Linked DNA regions of Arabidopsis thaliana. The protein of the gene in region 2 interacts with the protein of the main gene of each other region in a pairwise test. Each region holds a gene or a part of one and is shown on either strand. Other genes may lie near its edges.

Region 1 (3,507 bases), on a different chromosome or scaffold from region 2:
ACAGGTTCCTTGAGCTTATCCACAGCAGGCTCTTTAGCTTTTCTATAGCTCTGCAATCATAGACCATGTAAAGGAAAGAAATGCTCAGAATCGAATAAACTGAGCGACTACTATATCGAGGATGAGCCTACAATAAAAAATATATTTAGATTCATTCAATCAACTATACCTTGTAGTTTTGACAACATTCAAAAAATCTCAACTTTGTATCACTGGCACGGTTTTCGCTAGTGACAGCGAATGCTCTATTACGGCCTGGTCCCAGATTTCCTTTCTCACTGAATAACCCCATTCCAAATGCTACAGCACTTGCAGATGCCCTAGGAATCTACCAAGAGATTTAAACATTTCAGGCCAATGCTTGCAACCAAATTCTAGCGTTCACATCATCTCAAATTTTGCTGAGCAGAAACAGACATAAAAAGATTCAAAATCCACCAACCTGCGTAGCTCTTATTGTATAGACATCAGGATGGTAATCCTCTTCAAACAAACTAGGAAACCGTTCCCGAACCCGAATTCCCAGTTGGTATAACTCATCCTCCCCTTGCCTGATCAGCTCCCCACCTTTCACTTTTCCTTCCCAAGGAGATTTCCATTGTCCCAACCATCCAGGAATTTTGTCTGAAGGCAATTTCCTAGCTTCTGCATCTCTTACCAGTTCCTTAAACCTACCAGCCAAACTTTCCAATTCCCGCAATCGTTTCTTGGTCGGAGAACGAGTTCCATGCCTAGCCTAACATGTCAAAAACCACTATTTCAGTCTTTATTCTCCCTCATTGCCATTCCATTTAACCCAAATAAACTACGCTTACCACAAGGTTAAGGTGGATAGGTGTACACTCACTAGGAACATTCGACCCTTCAATCAAATTTTGGGTAACATCTTTCGAAGTAGAGTATCTGCACACCAAATTCAAATTCCCCCAAAAAATAATTAGACCTCGCTAAAGAGAACAACACAAATTTCCACCTTTTTCTGACAAAGTGGTATCAATGTTGTCAAGCAATCGGACCAATTAGACCCAGATGATAAAGTGTTGTTCTTAATTCAACTTCCTCGGGAACCACGAAATAAGAAGGATTGAGAAAGAACCTGGTGACGGTGGAGAGGTGATGACGAACATCGAAACCCTGATCTGCCTGGGAAACAACAAATAGACACAACAGTATGATCCAAACAGTCTTCGTCGCCATCTCTCACGCTTTCTAAATTCCTTCAGGAGGAAGCTTTCAAGTTTCCGATTAATCAAGCCACAAGCCACTGTTCCACTGCTTCGATTCACACGAGTTTGCTCCTTTCACGCCACGTGTTGACCCTTCACACGTCTTTTGGTTTAAGTCTTTTGGATCTCCAAGATTTTTGTAATTTTTTGGTTCAGTTCCGGTTGAAGTCGGTTTTACGGTTGGACCGATTTAAACCTGTTAGCTGTCTTTGTCTTCTCCTTTGCCGCCAAATATGCTCTTTGATATCATATAATAACCAATCTTAACAGATAATGTACTCATTAGAAAAATGTGATGAGACCTAATCAAGCAACGTTGAGTCAAAAGCATGACCATTTCGTGACCAAGACTTCGTCTCTTCTTTATCTTTCCAGATTAAAATGTGTGTTTGCACGTTAAACAATCATGAGAATGAGCTCCAGCCTCTAGGGTTTATAAGATTACTTTATATACATATTTGGACAATCCAAAGAAGAAGAAGAAGAAGAAGCAGAGACTCATGGAAGAGTTTCAAGGTCCAGAACCACGCGGCCAAATGATGAGCGAGAATCCTCGATCCTTGGAGCTCAATCAACGCAAATGGTGGATCTCTGTTTTTATCTGCGGTTTCTTGATCTTTGCCGGAGACTCTCTTGTCATGCTTCTGTTGAACTTCTTCTACGTCCAAGATAATCGATCAGAGAGTGATCAAGACCGACAATACAAAGGGACATGGACACAAGCTCTGATCCAAAACGCTGCCTTTCCGATCTTAATTCCATTCTTCTTCATTCTTTCTTCACCAAAACCAAACCCGGAAACAGTCTCCAATCAAACAAACAATGGCTGGTTTCGAGTTCTCTCGCTCTACGTTTCTCTTGGTGTTCTTGTCTCTGTTTATAGCAAGTTATACGCGCTGGGGAAATTATACGTAGGATGGGGAATTTTGTTATCAACTCAATTGATACTCACCTCCCTCTTCTCAGCTTTCATAAACCGTCTCAAGTTTAACAGATGGATCATCATATCGATAATCTTCACTCTTGGGGCTGACTTTTTTGGTGGCCCTGCCTTTGCTGGAACCCCTAATGAAGATGAAACTGATCCTTACGACATCAAGGCATGGTTGATACTCATATTCCCTACTCTTGCTTTCTCCTTGTCTCTGTGCTTAATGCAGCTCGGATTCGACAAAGTGTTGGTGAAGACAAAGAGGTATGGTAACAAGAAGGTCTTTCGGATGGTCTTGGAGATGCAAATCTGTGTTTCCTTCATCGCCACACTCATTTGCACTGTGGGTCTGTTTGCGAGTGGTGAGTTTAAGGAGTTAAAAGGCGACAGCGAGAGGTTTAAGAAAGGGAAGACTTACTACATTCTGAGTTTGGTCGGGTTGGCTCTCTCTTGGCAGGTTTGGGCGGTCGGGCTGTTAGGTTTGGTGCTTTTGGTGTCCGGTTTATTCGCTGATGTTGTTCATATGGGTGCTTCACCGGTTGTGGCTCTGCTAGTTGTGTTGGCTTTTGATTTCATGGACGATGAATTTGGTTGGCAGAGAAGAGGTGCTTTGCTAGGGGCGGTCTTGGCTCTAGCTTCTTACTTCTACTCCCTGCACACAAAAAAGAAGAAGGAGATCGCAGAACTGAACAAGAGAGAGAACAACAACAGTGAAGCTTAGTCTCTCTATAATATACATAGATGATACTCTTATTACTTTATGTGTCTTGCAGATACAAATACTGTGCTTGTCCTGCAAGTGTCCTTTATTGACTCAGAAGTTGTATACATCCAAATGAGAGACTAAAAATACATCCGTGATGATATCGTATATATCTATCTCAATAACAGCTACAAATAATCCCCTCGCAGATAATCGAATCTACGAGGTTTTTGTATGGATGAGTTTGAATTTTCTGTAACATGTGCGTAAAACTTCTCTCACATAACCCATTCCTCAAATCGGCCAAGTTGTTTTGAAGAATTCTTCTTCCAGAAGGGCTTGATCGCAGTGAAATTACCAGTTTTCTGTCAGAAAAGAAATAGCTTCATCAGTCAACAAAACATAGAAGTAGGCATCGTGATCAGTATGCATATATCCACAGCTAAAATACCTTAAGGCAGAGACTTCTGGTTGTATCACAAACAGGGTAATCATGTGGACAACAATGACGACCATCCTTGCAACACACAGCGGATTCTATCTCGCAGCATTTCCATGAGAAGCATAAACCAAACAATTCTCTTGCACAGCAACAAGTCTCTCCAGATGAACAATACGTGAAAAGGTTGCATTTTGTAGGGCCAGGA
Region 2 (4,287 bases):
TGCAAAATATCATATTCTTATAATAAGTTATAACCAAGTGGACACAATTTTGTTATTCAGATTTGAACTCTAATTTGGTATTTTGTCACCTCATGTGAATTTAACACCCCAAAGAAAAACATACACTGAAACGGGTCGGGTTAGTGGAAGAAAAGAGAGTAAACGAAGAAGACGACAAAGAGACCGGGTCATTCACGGCGTCGGCTGTCACAAACGACGACCTTGACGGAGACATTAGTATTTTCTCGCCGTCGTCAAAGTTTCACAACTCTTTCCGTTACGTTACTTACACGCGCCTTAAACGTCACGCGCCTATGGAGGACCACTAAACATGGTGTTTAATAATTATTTTTATTTTCTTGTTGCATAAGAATTTCCCGGCAACGAAACCAACTTCTATCTTGTCCTTTAATTGCTTAACCAGATTCATATATATTACACTCGAACCACTTGAAAAGGATAGTTTTATGTTTACACATTCAATTTCTAAAGTCATTCTCATGACAACAAATCACTCCCATGATATTTTTTTTGAAATGACATGAGGTTTAATACTAATAAAGTATATTTTTACAATCAAATCAAATCAACAACATTACATTTTAAAAAAAATCCAATATATATCTCACAACATAAATTTGAAAATCCAACAATCAAATGTTTCCTCCTAGAATAATGAATTAGAAGAGTGTACAATGAAACGAATCTCGTTAGTGCCAATAAATCAAAACTAGAAGACAAGATTTTCTTCTATATCCAAAGAATCCAATAAAAACGGTGTATTACCATCATCTTCATCACCATCACATGATCTAGTCATGAGTTCTTTTGCTCTATGAACCTCAACTTCCCAATCAGTCCTAGCCAACACGACCAGCATCGAAATCAGGCACGAGCCTTGTGCTGCAAATAGACCGAGCCATAGTCCTTTGAAGTCAAACCCGCTAAAGAAACTTAACCATACAGCCACTGGCATTCCCACAAAGTAGAAACAACACAAGTTTATGTTTGCTCCTAACTTAGGTCTCGCACTTCCTCTCAACACTCCACACAATGTGGTCTGAGGACAGTTTCCTAGCTCGCAAAGCCCGATGATCGGTAAAACCATTGAAGTCAACTTCACAATCTCTTCCTCATCTGTGAACAATCTTGCCCAGCAATTCCTCACCATCAAAGCGAAAAACATTGCCAATAAACCTAAACCAAGGCTTAAACTAAGTCCGGTTCTCGCAGCTATCCTCGCTTTATCAGGCTGATTCGCACCTAATTCATTCCCGACACGTGTCGATACGCTGATACTCAGAGAGGAAGGGAAAATGTAGATCAAAGCGGTGGTTTGGATCAAGATTCCCATAGATGCCACGGTTGCTTGCGGGTTAAGTAACAATCCACATAGAAGAATCATGATTTCATACCACCACCACTCTAAACAAACCGAGACGCAGCTAGGGATGGCTAGTTTCATTAGAGATCTCCATCCTTTAAAGCAATCCATTGAGAATCCTCCCCAAGTCTTCTGGTAAACACCGGAAAACACTATGTAGATGATTAGAAACCCTAGGAGATTGACATTAGTCCAGATTGCTCCCAAGGCGACTCCTTTAAGGCCGAGACCGAGAGAAGAAACGAGAAGGTAGTTAATCGGAATGTGGAGTAATACTGCGAAGAAAGCAGAGTAGGTTAGAGGAAGAGTGATCGATTGAGATCGGAGGTAGATACGGATAGGATGTAAAAAAGATTGGAGGATCAGATCAGGGAGAGAGAAGAGGATAAAGATCTCAGCTTGGTTTGAGATTTCTTCGTCTTGTCCGAAGAAGAGAAGGATCTTCTTGATGTTGAGCCAGAGGATAGATATGGGAAGAGAACAGAGGAGAAGCAAAAGTGTGGTTCTTTGCAAAGCAAGGCCTAAAAGTTTGAATCTTTTGGCGCCAAAGGCTTGAACGCAGATGGGTTCCATGCCGATAGAGAGACCGGAGAGGAGAGAGTAACCCGTGATGTTAGCGAAGCCGAGGGCGAGTGAGCCACCGGAAAGAGCAGAGAGATCGTTGAGACGGCCGAGGAAGAGCATTGAGATCATTGAGCGAGAGTAGAGAAGTAAACCGGTTAAGATCAGTGGGAGAGATATTTTGGCGATTGATTTGGCTTCTTGGATCGAAGAGGAAAGGTGGGTCGGGTTCGGATTCGGATCTTGTCGGTGATCTGTTTGGTTCTTGATGATCATCAACAAAGGAGCTGCCATGATTACAGGTTTGAGAGAGAAGAGAGAGACAGAGACAGAGAAAGGAGATGATGAAGAAGGTGTTGTTGATGTGTGAAAGGTGTGTTATAAGTTTGAGATTAAGTCACTAGTTAAGGTTAATAGTGATTAAGGCCCTTAAGGGAACAAGAGAAGTTTTTTGACTCAGAAATTAGTCTTAATTATAACAGAACAATTTTGGCGGTTTATTTGACCGGCCATTATGTCATTTGTTACGACTCCGTCTTAATTCAGAGACACTATTTTATTCTATTTTCATTTGTGGAAAACCAATAAAAAAAGTTTAAAGAAAATATGATTTTTGGATGTCTATTTGGAATCATTTTACTTTCTTCATGTTGATTTGGATTTTTTATATATATAATAGTATTGTTTTTCTTTGGATGTTTATGCAACTCTTTTCTTTTAATCATGGTTACGTTTATTAGGATTTTTGTTTCCATTTGGAGATAAGTTTCCAAGAAAATATTGATATTTGGATGTTTATTAAGAATTTTTTTTATTCACGATTAATTTATTGTCTGTATTTCGTTTAATTTATAGTTAGATACTTAGATACATACATACAATACAACTCAGCATAGAAAGAGTTGAAACTTGAGACGTTTTTGGGATTTCTATTCTTTAAATAATAAACCAGTGTAACAAATTGACTCATGTCGTTTCTTCCTCACTTTTAATAGTATTGAATTTGACCATTATGGGTAATTTTCATGTGCCAAAAAAAAAAAACGAAATGGATTCTTTACAAAATCAAATAAGTAACTGCTCGAAGTAGTAGTAAAGTAGTAAGCTAGTAGGGATGGACACAGATCATATACCAGAAAATTAAGCAGCTATACAGAGAGGTTGGTATCAAGTTGTTACGAAATACTAAGATTTAAAATTTTATGGACCATTTTATATAAAACTTGGGACGATGTTGATGCTTGCAATAAAGTGAGAAGAATTATATAGAATATTATACCTACTTAATGCTTATTTCTAAACTTCAAAACAATTTATTGGACCACTCTATTGATCATATAATCGAGGGGAAAATTATAGTTTGGCAAAAAAAAAGGCTTGCTTTCATAATTAGTTTCAAGAGAACTTAACAGAAAATAATAATTAGTTTAAAGAGAATATTTTTTATTAGTGTTTATTAATTTTGGGATAAGAATTTATTGTTTGTGCATAGATATAATACGATGTCACATGCTTCACCTCTATAGAATGTGGACCATTAATATAGCTTAAGGATGATGGGGAACAAAAATAACATTATCTTATCACGAGCTATGTCGATCGTTTATTATATTATAACAAAAAAAAAAATTAACAACTGTAAATAGAAAAAAATATATATATATAAACTATATGAAATAAAAATAAATACAAATGTAAATATAGAAGTAACAAACAAATATAAATAACATGATAAAAAAATTATAATTTACGTATTTCAGAGATTTTATATTTATATTTTTAGAAATGATTAGGGTTTCCAAGTCAAATTTTCGATCAATTTTCTAAGTTACAACTTACTGTTACTTTGTATATGAACGAAAGAGAATTGATTTCCTTTTGGACTAAAATTGTTGTCAAGTGTTTATTATGTTTTGATTATGTTTTATTTATGTGAAATTTCAGAGTATTTTTTCATTGTATCTTGAATATCAAATATCATTAACAAATTATGTGAAAATTAATTTACGTCGACTTAAAATTAGGTTAAGGTAATCTTGACAAGGAAAAAGGGCAAGGTTATCGAGGAATCTAATAGTGTTTTGGTTAAAATTAACAAATTTTTTTCATTAACACAATTGTGTTCCTAATTCTCATCACACTGTCTATAACGTATTTTCCTATAATCAGTATTACCGCATATACTTAATGGTTGTTCATCCATATGCATTCTAGAAACAATATCTTCATATGATCAAAGTAATTAAACAACAATATCTTGTGAGACAAAAGATGTCATATAGTCAAAAATGTTCAAAAATCTATAATATCCTTGGCATAGAATGAATCAACCCCATAAAGAT
Region 3 (3,594 bases), on a different chromosome or scaffold from region 2:
ATGTCTTGATTTTGGTCGGACCTGTTTGACAAGTATGGTTGAGACTTGAGATCTCTATTGCAAAACAATCTTACTGCTTAAAATAAGTAAAAGGAAAACAGATTAATCTTTCTCATTGGATCTTATTTTTCTAAATTCACACCCTTTGCAAAATGCAAATACAAAGCAACATAAAAAAAAGAAAAGCCGTATTCACTATTGAGTATTGATTGACTAGTAACCCTCACTGACTGACCCCTACAATATCATTTTATTCCCTTATTGCAAAACGCCAACCATTCCAACTTTCAAATTTTTACATATACATATGGTGAATTTAATTTGTCTTCTTCTTTTTTTTTTTTTTTTTTTTTTTTGTTAAAGATATGGTGAATTTTGTTAGACGTAAATAGATCGAAACTTGTATCAAATTCTAGTTTTTTTAAAAAATATATATAATTATATATCATATTTTTTTATTACTCATAATTTGTTTACTCATTTCTTATAAATTCGGTCATAAATAAAGTTAATGTGTAATAAGACTGATGTGGAATTTAAAAGTTTGACAAAATGGCAAAAAGAGATATTGCAACACTTGAAAACTTAAGATGAGATTGATACATAATTCACATTATATAGTCGAAATTGCAATGGCCACTCTTGAAACCAACGGACAAGGATTCATCTAAAAGATCGAACGATCATAAACCCCTTGATGATTCGAAATTACACAAACGGAAATTAAAAAGACATTAAAATTCAAATTCAAAGTCGAATAAAATTACACAAGAGAGAAAAAGAGAGATTAATTCAGTAGTCTGTGGTTGGGAGCTGCTCGTGTGTGGTGTTGATGAAGAAAACTTCGTAGATGAGTCCAGCGATTCCACCGCCGACGAGAGGTCCGGCCCAGTAGACCCAGTGGTTGGTCCATGTCCAGCTCACCACCGCTGGTCCGAAAGCCACGGCGGGATTCATGGAGGCTCCAGAGAAAGCTCCTCCAGCTAAGATGTTGGCTCCAACAATGAAACCGATTGCGATGGGAGCAATTGTTCCAAGACTCCCGTTTTTGGGGTCAATGGCTGTAGCGTAGACGGTGTAAACAAGCCCGAATGTCATCACGATCTCGAAAACGAAAGCGTTCAACACTCCTACTCCAGCAGAGAGACCAAAAGCCGGCACAGCCTAAAATTTTCAAAAGGTTAATTAGTTACTTGACAAAGAAGTTAGGTCCAAAAAGAGATCTAATAAAGGGCTAAAGGGTAGTTTGACATACCAAGCCACCGGTGGCGAATTTAAGGATGAGGCAAGCGACGACGGAGCCGAGAAGCTGAGCAATCCAGTAGAGGATACCACGGAGGAGAGTGATGTTACCACCAATGAAAGCACCGAAAGTGACGGCAGGGTTAACGTGTCCACCAGAGATGTTGGCACCAACTGAGACAGCGACGAAGAGTCCAAAGGCATGAGCCACTGCAGCAGCTACGAGACCAGAAGGAGTGGTGGCTCCGTTTTCAGTGAGCTTGTTGAAAGCCATGCCAGAGCCTGAACCGGCGACGACAAAGATCAAAGTTGAAATGAACTCAGCCAACGCCGCCTTTAAGGCATCGGGACGGGTGGCTTCATCTGGACGGCCAATGGCGATGTTTCTGATCGGCATGATCGGACGGCTGAGATTTAAGCTTCAAGATGCTAGAAGAGTGGGAGATGGATTTGATGATTTTTTCTGGTCTACTATGTGCTCTTACTTATATCTGAGGTGGCGCCATTTTGGTGACCGGTTACCGGATGATATATTATTAATATTTGGTGGAGAAATTATTTGATTGGAGCGGTTAGAGATTTAAATAATTTTGAAAACAGGCTAAACAAGTACATCGCTATAATTCCAGCGAAGCGGAACCGACCAATCTACGTGGCGGATAATGACTTGTCATGTTTGTACATGTATAGAGCTTTTGTCCCTTTTTCATATTCTCTCTCTCGAATGATCGATAGTTCTAGAGGAAAATAATACGATTTTATTCTTGTTTTTCTCCAACTATTTTGCTAAGAGGTTTTTACTTGATTAGTGGTAGAATTTAGTCTTGATATATGTGTGGTAAAAATACTCAACTGAGTATACGGAGCAAGCTCCAAAACAAAAATTATAACTAAAGATGGTTACTAAAAATATTTCATATCTAATCTATAGTCATTTGTTTCTTCCTTACTTATAATCTGTCGTTGTTTTTTTGTTATAATGTCGTTGTTTTCTCTTGGGTCTTTATTCTCGAAACATAAATAATTCTGTGTAGATAAGTCACGGCTAGTTTTATGAATTTGATATTCGTATAGTGACATTACATGCTAACCATAAGTTATGATATTTTTTTATATTATCGCTAAGTAGAATTATGTAGCATAAATGATATTCAATGCCAAATCACTACGCTTTATTCTAATCGCAATTCTTTCAACTCGCTCTCCAAGTATACGAGAAAATTATAAGATGTTATCTTGTTTGTGGCACCAATTTTTCTGTGATTATATATTTATATTGTTTGTGGCACCAAATTTTAACATTCGAGACAATCTCACATTTTTTCACAATCATACAGAAAGATTATATATTTATTTTAGCATTTTATTTTGTGGGCCAATTATCTATTGGGCAAAAAGTATTGTGTGACGGCCCTCCACTTAAGGAAAAATAATAATTTATGAATGTCCTACCACCACGATGCAATCTGTCCCTTTTGGGCGGTTTAGGTTTACAATTCGGCTGAGAGGTACTGCCAGAAAGTGATTAATTTCCAAACAAAATTTAAAATGTCATATTATTTATTTAAAATAATAATAAATAAAAGACGTGATAATTTCGTTTTTCTTTTGTTTAATTTGATCTTTTTTTTTTTTAAATATAATACTACAAATTTTAACAGTGTGCTAATTTTTATTTATTTTACAAGCCTTGACAAAATAGTTGAACCATTTTGAAGTTTTTTGCACAGTTCGAAGTTCATACAACTGATCCAATTTTCTTTATATAAAAACAGAGCCCGCAGATTTATATAAATTGGAAGGGATTAAAACGATTGCTTTTTTTTTTTAACACATGAAACATGAGTCGTGTGTGTGTAGAGAAAATTATAATACGATACCAAACCAACTTTCCTATCAACACGGGACAAATTTGATATCTTTTTTCTATCATCTCTTTCAAACATACTGTGACCTGTGATTGATAAACATGTGAAACTTTTCCTTTGATGTAAGTCGTGTGATTTTAGAACTACCTAGATTGGGGTGGATTGTTAGGTGGATGATCCATTGTTTTTGCCTTTTTGGGTGGTTCACATAATGAACATTGATGGTGCACAACATCAACTGGCATGAATACTGCGTACAATCACGAACGTTCTAGTGACAATGTTCCAGTATTCTTTTACCAACCACATGTACGTACTTCTCAAAAACATAGCTAGTAGCCGAAGTATTTTCAAAACGCTAGCTAATCATCGGAATTCCTCATATATTTGGTGACACTTTATTGATTGGTGCATTTCCTTGTTGACTTTTTCTCCTTCTTATTTAAAACTTGATTGAGAACAATCATTTTTGGACCGTTTACCT
Region 4 (5,955 bases), on a different chromosome or scaffold from region 2:
ACTGTAAGCATCGAGACTTGAATCTGGCAACAACCCAGAAAACCCACCACGAGCAATGACAAGGGGAGCATCTCCTACAAAAATGGAAACAAAATCCGATGAAACCTATAAGAAAGCTTCGATTTTTCTTTGGATGAAACTCAGAAAACCCCCAAATTTTTCTCTTTGATTTCTATGAAACGATTCAAAAGGAAGCAACTTTTCTACTGATTTATTGATTAACAGTGAAGGGTATTGAATAAATAGGAGAAGAAGGAGATAGAAGACACTAACCAGTGAGTGTTTGCCATGGACTTTTAGATCTTTGAGCAAAGAGTTGAGTAGACAGCAACTGGATCAAAATAAGAGCTAAAAATAGAAACTTTGAAGCTTGTAAGACATGCATTGTTGGATTATCTCGCATGTTTATCATCTGTAACAACCTGAGTTGTCCCGGCGGCGACTTCACCAACTTCGACCAAAAACTGAGATTTACTCAGAGAGAGAGAGAGAGAGAGAGAGAGAGAGAGCTTTTTGGTTTGTGGGATTCGAATTTATATGATCGTTGATTATTTTAAAAGGGAAAACAAAAGAACTTCGACTTTTTGTTTTTGACACATTTTTCCACTTTAAAAAGAAAACATCAACTAAAATTTTATTTTTTTGGTTTTTCATAAATAAACTAAAATGTTTTTCAATGTGTCTCCATATCTTTATTGCAGACAGAAAATATTGGGAGTGTAATTTTGACTCAATTTTTTTTTGAGAATACAAGAGTTTAATTTTCATGGGATAACTAAATAAGTTTTATTTTAAATTAGAATATAATTTTTTGATTGGTTGTCTCCAACCTAGAGAAACCAAACAATTGTTTTACATATATTTGTGTATTTATTTTTTATAGTTATGCGTTCTTCATTTATTACGACCTACTCTCTCTTTGTTTTTCTTTATTACTACCTACTTGTTTCCAAAACCAGCTAAACTATAAGCAAGCATAATAATAAACTATATAATGCATGCAATTGCAATATACATGTGTCAATCATTGGTCTTGTTATAATTAGGATTAGTGTAGAAACGGCTATTAGATATCAATTATATCCCTGCAATTTCTCCCTTAATCACTCCTATAGTAATTGGTGTATATCTGTTTTCCTCTACGGTACCAACAAATAAAAAGTCTACTGCGGGGAACGTATTTGTTTTTCTTGTTTCCTCTTCTCTTCTCTGTATATAAGAAAAATTGTATCATTCTAGTGATACTACCCATTACCCAATACGCATTCCAATAATGGCTACATTTACATATATGATATATGCATATACATATCACATATGAGCAGATTTATTATTTATCTAATATACACATTATATATCCGAATTCTATGTTTTCACGTTAATTATAATATTTACAAGTTTCTTAATTTATATTATAGCTATAATGATACTAGTATCTTAAAAAATGTTGAGAAGGCGGTGGTGGATGATCGATTAAAAGTCAGGTAGGTCCTAGAACATGGTCGTTAAAGATTACACGTGGTGAAATAGGTCGCTGAGTCACTTTTTACGTCATCAAAACACGACCAAACGAAACGATCACGTTCTAGCGTCTTGGCTGTTGCAACCGGGACCGTTACTCAGTAGAGTGTTTTATTTCGATTGGTTCGAGTCTTCACCAAATAATTCGTTGTAATAAATATTGAGTTTTCAAGTTTCATAATTTTATATAAACAGAATAAAGAACAAGAGGTAAAAATAAATTAAGGAAAAAGAACAACAATTTACGCGAGTTAGTTAGACCCAAAAAAGAAAAAAGAAAAAAATCCCCAAATCCGGTAAGAAAAAAATACATGATGAGTTAGTTTTGGGCCCTAAAAAGGCCCAAGATGCAGTACAATTCCAAAAAGCCTCACGTTTACTCAGTCTGATGACGTTGGAAACATGCCACGTGTCTTTCGTCTCCTCGCCACCTGTAACCACCGCCTTGTTCATCGCAGTTCAAATCTCTCCTCACTCTCTGACTCTTTCCTCGTCTCTCTCTCTATCGTTCTCTGTGTGCCTTCTTCGTTTGCGATTGGTGTTTTCAAAATCGACGAAATCGAAAACATTATCGAGTGAAAAATGAGTATCGGATTAACAGAGTTTGTGACGAATAAACTAGCAGCTGAGCATCCTCAGGTGATACCAATCTCAGTGTTCATCGCCATTCTCTGTCTATGTTTAGTTATCGGCCACTTGCTTGAAGAGAATCGATGGGTTAATGAATCTATTACCGCCATTTTAGTAGTAATTTTCTTCAAAATTTCTTCTTTTTTTTGTTTTAGCTAAAGTTTTGAGCTTTTCTGCTCTTAAAGAACAATTTTATCACTATTTTTGATTGGTTTTGTTGCAAGTAGGGAGCAGCATCAGGAACAGTGATCTTACTTATTAGTAAAGGAAAAAGTTCACATATTTTGGTGTTTGATGAAGAACTCTTCTTCATTTACCTTCTTCCTCCAATAATCTTCAATGCTGGGTAAGCTTACTATGGTTTTGGTTACTATGTTGTGGTTAATGGGTTAGATTACACTATGATGGTGATTGACTGAAGATTTTTTGGTTTGTTGTGGCAGGTTCCAAGTTAAGAAAAAGAAGTTTTTTCACAACTTTTTAACCATCATGTCCTTTGGTGTGATTGGAGTTTTCATCTCCACTGTCATTATCTCGTTTGGTAAAAAATATTTCATTAATCTTTGAATGACTTGACTATATGATTTAAAGTTGATTATCTCGGAGTTGTTACCATCTCTATTTTTGTTGTTTTTATAATGTGAACCAGGGACTTGGTGGCTGTTTCCCAAGTTGGGATTTAAGGGGTTGAGTGCTAGAGACTATCTTGGTAAGATTTTTCACTGATCTATGTTTCTTTTCATTTCTTGTTGAGATGGTTATTACTTATCAGTTTGCGAGAGTGAATGCTTTCTTGTTTTGATTCAGCCATAGGAACGATTTTCTCATCAACTGATACTGTTTGCACTCTACAGGTTCTTGATTTAGAAGATTCTTTGTCTTACTACTTCTTCTATTAAAAGTTTTTTCTTACATTGCATCTTAAACTTTTACAGATTCTCCATCAAGATGAAACACCATTGCTATACAGCTTAGTCTTTGGAGAAGGAGTGGTGAATGATGCAACCTCAGTTGTACTGTTCAACGCCGTGCAAAAGATTCAATTTGAAAGCCTAACCGGTTGGACGGCGCTGCAAGTATTTGGGAACTTTTTGTACCTCTTCTCAACAAGCACACTTCTCGGAATTGGTGTAAGCTATTGAGTTGGCATAGTTTTTTACTCTGTTTGAAGCATATCATGAGTAATCTTAGAACTGTGAATGTCTTGCAGGTGGGGCTAATAACATCTTTTGTTCTTAAAACCTTGTATTTTGGAAGGTAAAAGTACACCAAACTTGCAAATTTTTCATCTCAAGCTTAAGTTTTTTTTTTTTAGTGATAAGATGTGCCTTTATATTGATCTTGTTATATGGTTGCTGACAGACATTCTACTACACGCGAACTCGCCATCATGGTTCTAATGGCTTACCTTTCATATATGTTGGCTGAGGTAATACACTGGTCATGAACGCTACTTTTTAGTTTTCATTTGGAATTGAAGTGCTGCATTTCTCTGTTTTAACTCAATATAGTTGTTCTCTTGCAGCTCTTCTCATTAAGTGGAATTCTTACTGTTTTCTTCTGTGGTGTTTTAATGTCGCATTATGCATCATATAACGTGACAGAGAGCTCAAGAATCACTTCCAGGCAATGTATCAGACAATTGTTTATTCGCTGAAGTCTCAATTTGCAGGAATTGCTTTTGTCTGACTGTGCATCTATATTTTGCAGGCATGTATTTGCAATGTTGTCCTTTATTGCGGAGACATTCATATTTCTGTATGTTGGAACAGATGCTCTTGATTTTACAAAGTGGAAGACAAGCAGCTTAAGGTATAAAGTCGTATCCATTTATCAGCTGGTAGAGCGTTTAGAGTGTTTTGTCAAAACAATACACAGCATTTTGATATGAACCTCGTGTATTTCTTAAATGCATACCTAGAATCAAGATTATCCCAAAGACATCCTCTATGTCTTCTTCTCTCTTGACACGAAGTTAATCGCCAATTAACTGTTAGTTAAGCTGTGGTGGTGACTCGTTGTTTCTGAAATCTCTTCCCAATGAAGACTTGTAACATTAATCATCTTCTTGCAGCTTTGGGGGTACTCTGGGTGTCTCCGGTGTCATAACCGCATTAGTATTGCTTGGACGAGCAGCATTTGTCTTTCCACTCTCGGTCTTAACAAATTTCATGAACAGGCACACTGAAAGAAACGAGTCTATCACATTTAAGCATCAGGTTTAGCTCTTGTTTGTTACAGTTACATTATCAGAAGCACTAAAATAAAAAATTAATAATGGTCCGAGAATGGGAAAGTTTCTGTTATATAATTCTCTCTTTGTATACTTTATAGGTGATCATTTGGTGGGCAGGTCTAATGCGAGGTGCTGTCTCAATTGCTCTGGCTTTCAAGCAGGTTTTTCTCTTTGCACATTCATATTATCTCTAATCTCTATTGTATTACTTTTACATTGAATTAGTAACATTTCCATTATATCTCATTTTGGTATATCTTTCATGTGCCAAGTTCACATACTCCGGTGTTACATTGGATCCTGTGAATGCTGCCATGGTCACCAACACCACTATCGTTGTTCTCTTTACTACACTGGTAAAACAAATACTACCTTAGTATATGGCCCTACTGGTTCTGGTAGTTTTCTGTGTTAAGATCAAAAGAATGACTTCTTTGTCATGTAACAAACAGGTCTTTGGTTTCCTCACAAAACCACTTGTGAATTATCTCCTTCCTCAAGATGCAAGTCACAACACCGGAAATAGAGGTAAACGCACTGAGCCAGGTTCTCCGAAAGAAGATGCGACACTTCCTCTTCTTTCCTTTGACGAGTCTGCTTCCACCAACTTCAATAGAGCTAAAGATAGTATTTCCCTTCTGATGGAACAACCTGTGTACACCATCCACCGCTACTGGAGAAAGTTTGACGACACATACATGAGGCCTATCTTCGGTGGACCTCGTCGAGAAAACCAACCAGAATGCTAGGTATACCCTCCATTATTACCACACAAATTTATACATTTTGCAGCAAACGCACCTCACTTGATCAATAATGTGTAACCGGAATTAATAAGTACATCCGGGAAGAGGTGCCTACAATATTCATCATGATAAGCGAACAATTCTCTCTTTTTGTGTTGCAGAATTGATCCGGGTTCTCCGCGGGGAAATCATGATGAGTTAGTTTTTTTTATAGTCAAGAAAGTAGGATAGTTGGTTTAGCTAAAACAGTTTCTTAAAGTTTTTGTTAAATGTATACAACAAGGTTCTTCTATATACACAAGCTGCGATTATTACTGCGAGTTTGTAATTTATTTGGATCGGAACATAAGACATATTGTAAGACTTCAGATCAGTTGCAGGACAAGTTCGAGTGAAGTCTGCTAGAACGGTCTGTCTCCATCTCAGTTCCTCAAAGCTGCACTTACAGAACAGCAAAACGTAAGCCTTTTTTACTTCATACTTCATATTGGGATCCTACTAGTCTACCGGTTTTTAGTATCTTAATGGTATTTTGATTTTACCTTGGCAAGCAGGAGGGATTGTTGTCAGGCCACATTTGCTCAGAAGAGCCTGGACTTTAGATGGGTAAACCGCTAAAACGGGGAGAACAGACTTGAATCTGCAGATGCATTTCAGATTAGCGGCTTGGAGGAGTTCACAACACTCTTTGATTGGAGATGGCGGGTTGTCTCCAATTACGGCTGGACGACATTTTTCCAGATGGTTTGCGTTGATGTTACATGCGGTAATGCTCGTAGGTTCTTCCATCAACACCAAGGCGGCTAAAACTATTGCAAGAGC

What was found.
Region 1: the proteins of AT4G23030 (region 2) and PUP16 interact in a protein complementation assay, tested with the Arabidopsis thaliana proteins (one large-scale study listed by BioGRID).
Region 3: the proteins of AT4G23030 (region 2) and GAMMA-TIP interact in a protein complementation assay, tested with the Arabidopsis thaliana proteins (one large-scale study listed by BioGRID).
Region 4: the proteins of AT4G23030 (region 2) and NHX3 interact in a protein complementation assay, tested with the Arabidopsis thaliana proteins (one large-scale study listed by BioGRID).

The regions. Positions count from the first base shown.
Region 1 is NC_003070.9:3,203,507-3,207,013, reverse strand, and holds PUP16 (purine permease 16), read left to right. Parts: upstream 1-1,704; 5' UTR 1,705-1,726; coding exon 1,727-2,878; 3' UTR 2,879-2,998; downstream 2,999-3,507. Other genes in the region: AT1G09870 (histidine acid phosphatase family protein), read right to left, coding at 1-50, 170-328, 443-736, 816-903, 1,097-1,197; XBCP3 (xylem bark cysteine peptidase 3), read right to left, coding at 3,139-3,225, 3,312-3,507.
Region 2 is NC_003075.7:12,070,809-12,075,095, reverse strand, and holds AT4G23030 (MATE efflux family protein), read right to left. Parts: upstream 2,337-4,287; 5' UTR 2,240-2,336; coding exon 731-2,239; 3' UTR 516-730; downstream 1-515.
Region 3 is NC_003071.7:15,443,535-15,447,128, reverse strand, and holds GAMMA-TIP (gamma tonoplast intrinsic protein), read right to left. Parts: upstream 1,836-3,594; 5' UTR 1,640-1,835; coding exon 1,256-1,639; intron 1,165-1,255; coding exon 793-1,164; 3' UTR 508-792; downstream 1-507. UniProt on the Arabidopsis thaliana protein: Water channel required to facilitate the transport of water, diffusion of amino acids and/or peptides from the vacuolar compartment to the cytoplasm. Does not promote glycerol permeability. May play a role in the control of cell turgor and cell expansion.
Region 4 is NC_003076.8:22,468,734-22,474,688, reverse strand, and holds NHX3 (Na+/H+ (sodium hydrogen) exchanger 3), read left to right. Parts: upstream 1-1,982; 5' UTR 1,983-2,103; coding exon 2,104-2,268; intron 2,269-2,378; coding exon 2,379-2,497; intron 2,498-2,594; coding exon 2,595-2,692; intron 2,693-2,800; coding exon 2,801-2,860; intron 2,861-2,958; coding exon 2,959-3,005; intron 3,006-3,086; coding exon 3,087-3,281; intron 3,282-3,361; coding exon 3,362-3,408; intron 3,409-3,513; coding exon 3,514-3,580; intron 3,581-3,676; coding exon 3,677-3,777; intron 3,778-3,861; coding exon 3,862-3,963; intron 3,964-4,225; coding exon 4,226-4,370; intron 4,371-4,485; coding exon 4,486-4,548; intron 4,549-4,659; coding exon 4,660-4,743; intron 4,744-4,839; coding exon 4,840-5,136; intron 5,137-5,294; 3' UTR 5,295-5,444; downstream 5,445-5,955. Other genes in the region: SVL1 (SHV3-like 1), read right to left, coding at 1-74, 274-412; AT5G55460 (Bifunctional inhibitor/lipid-transfer protein/seed storage 2S albumin superfamily protein), read right to left, coding at 5,556-5,569, 5,676-5,955. UniProt on the Arabidopsis thaliana protein: May act in low affinity electroneutral exchange of protons for cations such as Na(+) or K(+) across membranes. May also exchange Li(+) and Cs(+) with a lower affinity.